Linked DNA regions of Xenopus tropicalis. The protein of the gene in region 2 interacts with the protein of the main gene of each other region in a pairwise test. Links are inferred from orthologs where the notes say so. Each region holds a gene or a part of one and is shown on either strand. Other genes may lie near its edges.

The links.
Region 1: the proteins of smurf2 (region 2) and spart interact in a two-hybrid assay, tested with the Homo sapiens proteins (2 studies listed by BioGRID and IntAct). The link is inferred for Xenopus tropicalis from reciprocal best matches to the Homo sapiens genes SMURF2 and SPART.

The regions. Positions count from the first base shown.
Region 1 is NC_030678.2:151,956,084-151,959,895, forward strand, and holds part of spart (spartin), read left to right. Parts: intron 1-198; coding exon of another isoform or gene 199-200; coding exon 201-1,019; intron 1,020-3,180; coding exon 3,181-3,378; intron 3,379-3,812. UniProt on the Homo sapiens protein: Lipophagy receptor that plays an important role in lipid droplet (LD) turnover in motor neurons.
Region 2 is NC_030686.2:51,425,461-51,430,021, forward strand, and holds the start of smurf2 (E3 ubiquitin-protein ligase SMURF2), read left to right. Parts: upstream 1-1,560; 5' UTR 1,561-1,800; coding exon 1,801-1,852; intron 1,853-4,561. UniProt on the Homo sapiens protein: E3 ubiquitin-protein ligase which accepts ubiquitin from an E2 ubiquitin-conjugating enzyme in the form of a thioester and then directly transfers the ubiquitin to targeted substrates.

The DNA.
Region 1 (3,812 bases), on a different chromosome or scaffold from region 2:
CCTGGGTGCAGCGTTGCCCTATCCAAACTCATTTCAGCCAATGGGGAATAACCCTTCTTACATTTAGATTCTGTGTGACCTGCAGCCTGAACTCACTGACTGCCTTGGTCTGAGCCTTCCATGCCTAGTAACTTAGAAATGCAATTGATGTGTGAATTTTATGCAGCTTTAAAAATTCTGCTTCTTTTTATCATTCAGCGATGGAGAAAAATGCACCCCCTGAAAATCTGGAAAACACCTTGCTTCGGAGCATTGAGGATGAATACAGGAAAGCGTTTAAATACATAAATAAAGGTTTGAGTACAGACGAGACAGGGTATAAGGAAGAGGCTCGCAACTATTACAAGCAAGGACAGGAGCATCTAATAAGAGGATTAAATATATCCTTACAGAGGCCAGAGTTCACTGGCCCAGCTTGGGATAATGCCAGGCAAATGCAAGCTAAGATGGAGGAAACCCTGCAGAATGTAAACACACGTTTGAATATCCTACAGCAGAGTTTGACTTCACTTCCTTCCAATTCCGCTGCAGAAAATGCTTCATCCCAGATGCCTGCTTTGTACCCAGCCTTGCCACCTAAGGAGAAAGAGAAGCCAGAGAGGCCACCGCCTCCCATATCTCTTGTTTGCCCCTCAGAACCATGTCCAGTGAATGGTTTCTCCTCTGTGCCAAGTAGCGAAACTGTTCAGCCCATAGATCCCATCATGGGAGCACCTACACCCCCAGCATATACCCCTCAGGCTACCGAAGGTCATTATACAGTATCATATGGGACAGAATCAGGGGAGCTTTCAACTGTAGGAGTTGAGTTCTACTCCATGGCAGCACAGCCACCACCCGTGCAGAGTCTTGGGGTGGATGCAGAAGAGCTGATTCTTATTCCACAAGGGGTGCAGATATTTTTTGTAACAGCAGATGGCCTTGTCACTGCACCCTCATATCCAGGGTACCTTCGCATCATAAAGTTTATGGACACCAATAGTGAGGTGGCTCAGAATCGCCCACCTGCTTTTCTTCAGGTAAGATAAACACTAAGTGCTTCATTTCATTCTGCTGCTAGGGGCAAAGGTTTTCACAAGCCAACCCCTAAATGCCTTTTAGTATATAAGTATAGAACACACTAAGTCCAGTATATAAGAATGCTATGAAGCATACACACACATCCTATAGCTCTTGAACAGTACTACAGTTCCTAACGTCACTGAGAGGAATGCTGGGAGTTTAGCATGAGTTAAGGGAAAATGCAGAGTATTATATATATTAATTTGTATATTTTACACTCGACTCCTAGTGCATCTCACAATCACATGATGTATCTTCATTTGTCTTCATTTTTTATTTCTTAGTTTTTAAATAATATGCCCAGCAGCCAAAAAATATTTTATTGCTATAGCTACATTTTATTACTGATCTTTCTATTCAGGCCCTCTCCTATTTATACTCCAGTCTCTCATTCAAACCACTGTCTGGTTGCTAGTGTAAATTGGACCCTAGCAACCGGACAGCTGCTGAAATTCCAAACTAGAGAACTGCTGAACAAAAAGCTAAATAATTAAAAAACACACAATAAAAAAATGAAGACCTATTGTAAATTGACTCAGAATATAAATATTTACATCATACTACAAGTTAATTTTAAGGTGAACAAATTCTTTTAAAATGCTATCTGCACCCGCTATTGGGTCTCATAATCTCATCCCTCTGATCCAGTTAGAATATAAATGGAAACAATACAGGCAACGATTCAGGAGACACTTATGCCATCAGTGCCTATTCTGGCAACAAATACCAATATTCCTGCTTGGTTTTCAGTCAAAACATTTCACCCTCTGTCTCTCTTTTAGTGCTTGGTTATTCAAGCAGGGGCAAGTCTGCGCTCAGATTTTGAAATCTTAGTAATAAGGTGGCAATACACTGCCCTAGGCATGGACTGCCACTCTGTGGGTTCTGGAAAATGCCAGTGGGGCTGCTGTAAGATGCCATAGACAGTTACTATTTGTTGGGCCTGTGGGGGCTGTTTGGGTTTCTGTGTATTTGTAATACCAGGGCCTAATTTGAATCCTGGTCCAGATCTGCAAGGCCCAATAAAAGCTTCCAACAGACCAAGTCAGTACCTTATCGGCCTGTGTATGGAGCCCTCTGATATGCCTACCTAACCAGTATCTGGTCAAGATATTGATCAGGCAGGTTTGAATATCCCATTAGGGATACAGGCAGTTGATGTGATCCTCGTCTTAACAGCCTGTATTCCCATTATTGTTATGGTCACCTTTAGGCATGAGCTATCTGTGTGTGTGTTGTAAATAAGTGAGTGATATAAGTAACTTGTTTATATAGGTGACTAGGCTGTTACACAACACTAATCTCTGGATAGATTCTCTCTTGGTTATTAGATAATCACCATTGACTGACAGGGAATTAGGATTTAGACTGGCCCTTTCAGTTTCTCAGCAGTGATTTACAGCAGACATCAGGATGTGCCTTGAAACTTGACAGAGCAAGGAAAAAGAGCCAATATATGAGCAGATGGACAAGACATTACTGAAGCGATAATAAGGAAATGTAACAAGCAGCTCAAGTGCCAAAGCTATGGAACCTGGGACATTGAGCAGGGAAAGTGAAGGCGTAGGACAAAGTAAATGAGTATATGTACAGGAGCAAGCTAGCTATAAATGTATGGATTTGTTTTCTAAACAAACACAATGAGCAGCACTGCTTGCCACAATCCACCAGATCTGTATGTGTATCTGTAGCTCATTTAGAAACAAAAAAGAAGAAATATTGGGGCACAAGGCTTAACTCAGAGGATTAAGACCAGATGTGTGTGCTGGTCCCAGTGGCACAAATAAAAAAGACTTCTAGAATCCTGTAACTGGCCGCACCAGCCTTCCCATGACAATCGCGACTGCTAATAATTAAGTAGGGAACTATAATGAAAAATGAAATTAATTTTATTGGTAAGCGTTAACATTAATGACTTAATTACACTCAGACATATAAAAACCCAATGTCATTATGGGTATATGTCAAATACTAGAAAAGCAGTGCTAATTATAACCAGACTTAGCATGTCCCTGTTTTAGGCTGATGGTGTAAAGTGGTGTCTTATCTGAGTATCTTTGCTTTTTTGTTGATTTTAATTTACTCCAAGGTTCAAAATGTCCTCTGGGCTTTTTGCAGGTCTGTGATTGGTTGTACCCCCTCATGTGTACTCAGTCGCCAGTCCTGCGCACTAACACTGGAGTCTACATGTTCCCAGACGTGATGTCCCAGTTACCTGGATCCTATGTGGGAGTGGTTCTCTCTTCTGAGCTGCCCATTGCTGACCAGGAACTGTTTGAGGACCTGCTGAGACAGATGTCAGATCTGAGAATTCAGGTACATGAAATGCACTGTACTGTCCATTGCAGCCTTACCTCCTATTCACTCAAGCACCTGTGGGTATATTACCTTGTTCAGATGTATAAACTCCATAAACCTTGTCTTGTATGGATGGAGATATGTCCACACTGTTCATCTGATCGGCCATCTAGTTTTGCAGTCTTGTTAGCTGTGCACAGAGGACACTCCAATGATAGATAATGCCCAGATGCAGTCTTACCTAAAAAGAACATAAATCCATAAGCATCTGTTATAACCCCAATTATCAAATACACAATAAGGTGTTACTAGACCCATACAGCACCCCACTATGCTGTGATACTACATCCCTTTTCCCTCAGCACAGCCTCAGTCCTTACTATGCCCTCTCAGCAATCTGTCTCTCTACATGAGAGAGAGACATTTAGCTCTAAGGGCTCGTACAGACAAGC
Region 2 (4,561 bases):
TGACTGTCTCTCAGTGAGTGTCTCTCAGTGAGTGACTCTGGGTAATGGTGTGACTGTCTCTCAGTGAGTGTCTCTCAGTGAGGGACTCTGGGTAATGGTGTGAGTGTCTCTCAGTGAGTGTCTCTCAGTGAGGAACTCTGGATAATGGTGTGAGTGTCTCTCAGTGAGTGTCTCTCAGTGAGTGACTCTGGGTAATGGTGTGAGTGTCTCTCAGTGAGTGTCTCTCAGTGAGTGACTCTGGGTAATGGTGTGAGTGTCTCTCAGTGAGTGTCTCTCAGTGAGTGTCTCTGGGTAATGGTGTGAGTGTCTCTCAGTGAGTGTCTCTCAGTGAGTGTCTCTCAGTGAGTGACTCTGGGTAATGGTGTGACTGTCTCTCAGTGAGTGTCTCTCAGTGAGGGACTCTGGGTAATGGTGTGACTGTCTCTCAGTGAGTGTCTCTCAGTGAGGGACTCTGGGTAATGGTGTGACTGTCTCTCAGTGAGTGACTCTGGGTAATGGTGTGACTGTCTCTCAGTGAGTGACTCTGGGTAATGGTGTGACTGTCTCTCAGTGAGTGACTCTGGGTAATGGTGTGAGTGTCTCTCAGTGAGGAACTCTGGGTAATGGTGTGACTGTCTCTCAGTGAGTGTCTCTCAGTGAGTGACTCTGGGTAATGGTGTGAGTGTCTCTCAGTGAGTGTCTCTCAGTGAGTGACTCTGGGTAATGGTGTGAGTGTCTCTCAGTGAGTGTCTCTCAGTGAGTGACTCTGGGTAATGGGGTGAGTGTCTCTCAGTGAGGAACTCTGGGTAATGGGGTGAGTGTCTCTCAGTGAGGAACTCTGGGTAATGGTGTGACTGTCTCCCAGTGAGTGTCTCTCAGTGAGGAACTCTGGGTAATGGTGTGAGTGTCTCTCAGTGAGGAACTCTGGGTAATGGTGTGACTGTCTCTCAGTGAGTGTCTCTGGGTAATGGTGTGAGTGTCTCTCAGTGAGTGTCTCTCAGTGAGGAACTCTGGGTAATGGGGTGAGTGTCTCTCAGTGAGGAACTCTGGGTAATGGTTGTGACTGTCTCTCAGTGAGTGTCTCTCAGTGAGGAACTCTGGGTAATGGTGTGAGTGTCTCTCAGTGAGGAACTCTGGGTAATGGTGTGAGTGTCTCTCAGTGAGGAACTCTGGGTAATGGTGTGAGTGTCTCTCAGTGAGGAACTCTGGGTAATGGTGTGAGTGTCTCTCAGTGAGTGACTCTGGGTAATGGTGTGACTGTCTCTCAGTGAGTGTCTCTCAGTGAGTGTCTCTCAGTGAGGAACTCTGGGTAATGGTGTGAGTGTCTCTCAGTGAGTGACTCTGGGTAATGGTGTGAGTGTCTCTCAGTGAGGAACTCTGGGTAATGGTGTGAGTGTCTCTCAGTGAGTGTCTCTCAGTGAGTGTCTCTCAGTGAGTGACTCTGGGTAATGGTGTGAGTGTCTCTCAGTGAGTGTCTCTCAGTGAGGAACTCTGGGTAATGGTGAGTCTCAGACTGTGCGTCGCTCACAGTGTCCGGCCCCGCCCACATTCCTGCCTCCCGCTACTTGCAGTCTCCTCCCACAAGTGTCCGTGTCTCCGCCCCATTCCCGCCTGTGCCCCGCCCCTGTTCCCCGGTGCCTCCTCCCCGGGCTGTGAGTGGCTCCCCCGGCCCGTGTGGCTCAGTGCTGTCTCCGCTCTGCCCCAGGCTGATGGCGCTAGTCGGTAACTCGGGGCCCCCACAGTCCGCCTGACTCTCCCGCCCTCCCTCCGTACTCCAGGCCGCGGCCCGGGCCTAGCCTTGCTGTGGGACTCCCCGGGGCCATGTCTAACCAGGGATCCCGGCGGAACGGGCCGGTGAAGCTGCGACTGACCGGTGAGTAGGCCCGATACCCCTGCGTGGGGCAGAAGGCTCAGGGTGGGAGGGATCACAACAACAAGTTGGGCCCGGTGCTTCCCAGCATTCCGTGCGTTTGTCATGAGTTCCGGGGGCAAGTAGGGTAATATTCACCCCAGCTACTTCCTGCCGTTAGTTACCCCTCAGGCCTAACCTGCATGTTCCATTGAGCCCAGGGGCCCCTCTGGCTTGGCCTGGAGCTGAGCAATTGCCCTTTGAGGCAGGATTACTTGCCCTAGGTGGGGGTAACTAGTTGGTTTGGGGCCCTGGGTGCTTCTGGGGTCACACCCTGTGCTTATTGGGGTCCTGCCCAGGCTGTGAGTGCGCCCCCTAATTACAGGGCAATAACGAGACCTAATTAATAGAGTTTATATGAGTCTGGCGCTTGTACCCCTGTATGGGGCAGTTAGCTCATGTATGTGCCTGATTCCTGCGCCACTTGCCCCTGTATAGGGGGTACTTATTAGAGGGAAGAAGTCACTTGTGTAGGCTTGTGGGGGCGCCAGGAACCCTAAAATAAACCCCAAATGCCCAACCCCTCCCCTATCGGCCAGGCCTGGGGGCTGCAACCATCTTCCTTCAAGGCTTCGCAATCCCCTTTCTGGGCTAATGTGCATTTGGGGCAACTAGGATTGCTGCTCTTTGGATTCTGCCCCTGCTCAAGGTACCAACATGGCTCCTCAGCCCCAATGTGTCTGAGTTGCATCTCGATTGTGAAATAAGTTTTAGTCCTTTAATGGCATTTTACTGTATTTTGCGTGAAATCTGGAGTGGTCATTGGGGTATGTAATGGATCTGCCCTGGGCACTGCCACCCTTGGCTACTGGAACTCTGGCTGGACCTTATTTGCCCTTTAACTCATCTTTGAAGAGGATGCTGGGATTTGTAGTTCTTTAACAGCTGGTTGCCTAGGCATTCAAAAAGCAGTATTACTAAGTCCTTACCATATGGGCCCCCCTTTCCTCACTGACTACAGGGGGGCTGGTATTAAAAGCAATCATGGGTACCCACTCTAACCATAGGAAATGCCCACAATGGCTTGGCATGCAGAGATTTACAGTGGCATCCATGGTAGTGAGTATTGGCCTTGTCTGGCATTGTCCTTTAATTGTGAACCCTGTTGTTCGGGTTGCCTTTTGCTCACACTGAATGCTGGGAGATGTAGTTTCACAATATGTGGGCCTCTGGCCTAGGTGCCCTGCATTGTCAGTACAAGTGCAGCTGAGTGTGAGAGAGTACATGGAATATGAATCATGGTTTCTTATGGAGTCATTCACACTGGCAGTTTCCTTCTGAGCATTTATACAGAAACCATAGAGTTGTGCCCATAGGCAGACATACAGATACCATAGAGTTGTGCCCATAGGCAGACATACAGAAGCCATAGAATTGTGCCTATAGGCAGACATACAGAAGCCATAGAGTTGTGCCTATAGGCAGACATACAGATACCATAGAGTTGTGCCCATAGGCAGACATACAGATGCCATAGAGTTGTGCCTATAGGCAGACATACAGATACCATAGAGTTGTGCCCATAGGCAGACATACAGATACCATAGAGTTGTGCCCATAGGCAGACATACAGAAGCCATAGAGTTGTGCCCATAGGCAGACATACAGATGCCATAGAGTTGTGCCTATAGGCAAACATACAGAAGCCATAGAGTTGTGCCCATAGGCCCATGTCCCCCTGACAGACCGGCGTAGCCCCAGGTTTCCCCCCTGACAGACCGGCGTAGCCCCAGGTTTCGCCCCTGACAGACCGGCGTAGCCCCAGGTTTCGCCCCTGACAGACCGGCGTAGCCCCAGGTTTCGCCCCTGACAGACCGGCGTAGCCCCAGGTTTCCCCCCTGACAGACCGGCGTAGCCCCAGGTTTCGCCCCTGACAGACCGGCGTAGCCCCAGGTTTCGCCCCTGACAGACCGGCGTAGCCCCAGGTTTCCCCCCTGACAGACCGGCGTAGCCCCAGGTTTCCCCCCTGACAGACCGGCGTAGCCCCAGGTTTCCCCCCTGACAGACCGGCGTAGCCCCAGGTTTCCCCCCTGACAGACCGGCGTAGCCCCAGGTTTCGCCCCTGACAGACCGGCGTAGCCCCAGGTTTCCCCCCTGACAGACCGGCGTAGCCCCAGGTTTCCCCCCTGACAGACCGGCGTAGCCCCAGGTTTCGCCCCTGACAGACCGGCGTAGCCCCAGGTTTCCCCCCTGACAGACCGGCGTAGCCCCAGGTTTCCCCCCTGACAGACCGGCGTAGCCCCAGGTTTCCCCCCTGACAGACCGGCGTAGCCCCCAGGTTTCCCCCCTGACAGACCGGCGTAGCCCCAGGTTTCCCCCCTGACAGACCGGCGTAGCCCCAGGTTTCCCCCCTGACAGACCGGCGTAGCCCCAGGTTTCCCCCCTGACAGACCGGCGTAGCCCCAGGTTTCCCCCCTGACAGACCGGCGTTATAAAGTCATTATGGCTGGGAATGTCAATGCTATAAATGCAGTGATGACCTGCTTTGTCAGCGTGTTCCTCTGGGCCGGTCCCAGCTGCAGATTCCATGGCCAGGTACCGGGATGTGCATGTTGTTCTGACCCATTATGGTACTGTGTAAGGCCAGGTACCGGGATGTGCATGTTGTTCTGACCCATTATGGTACTGTGTAAGGCCAGGTACCGGGATGTGCATGTTGTTCTGACCCATTAT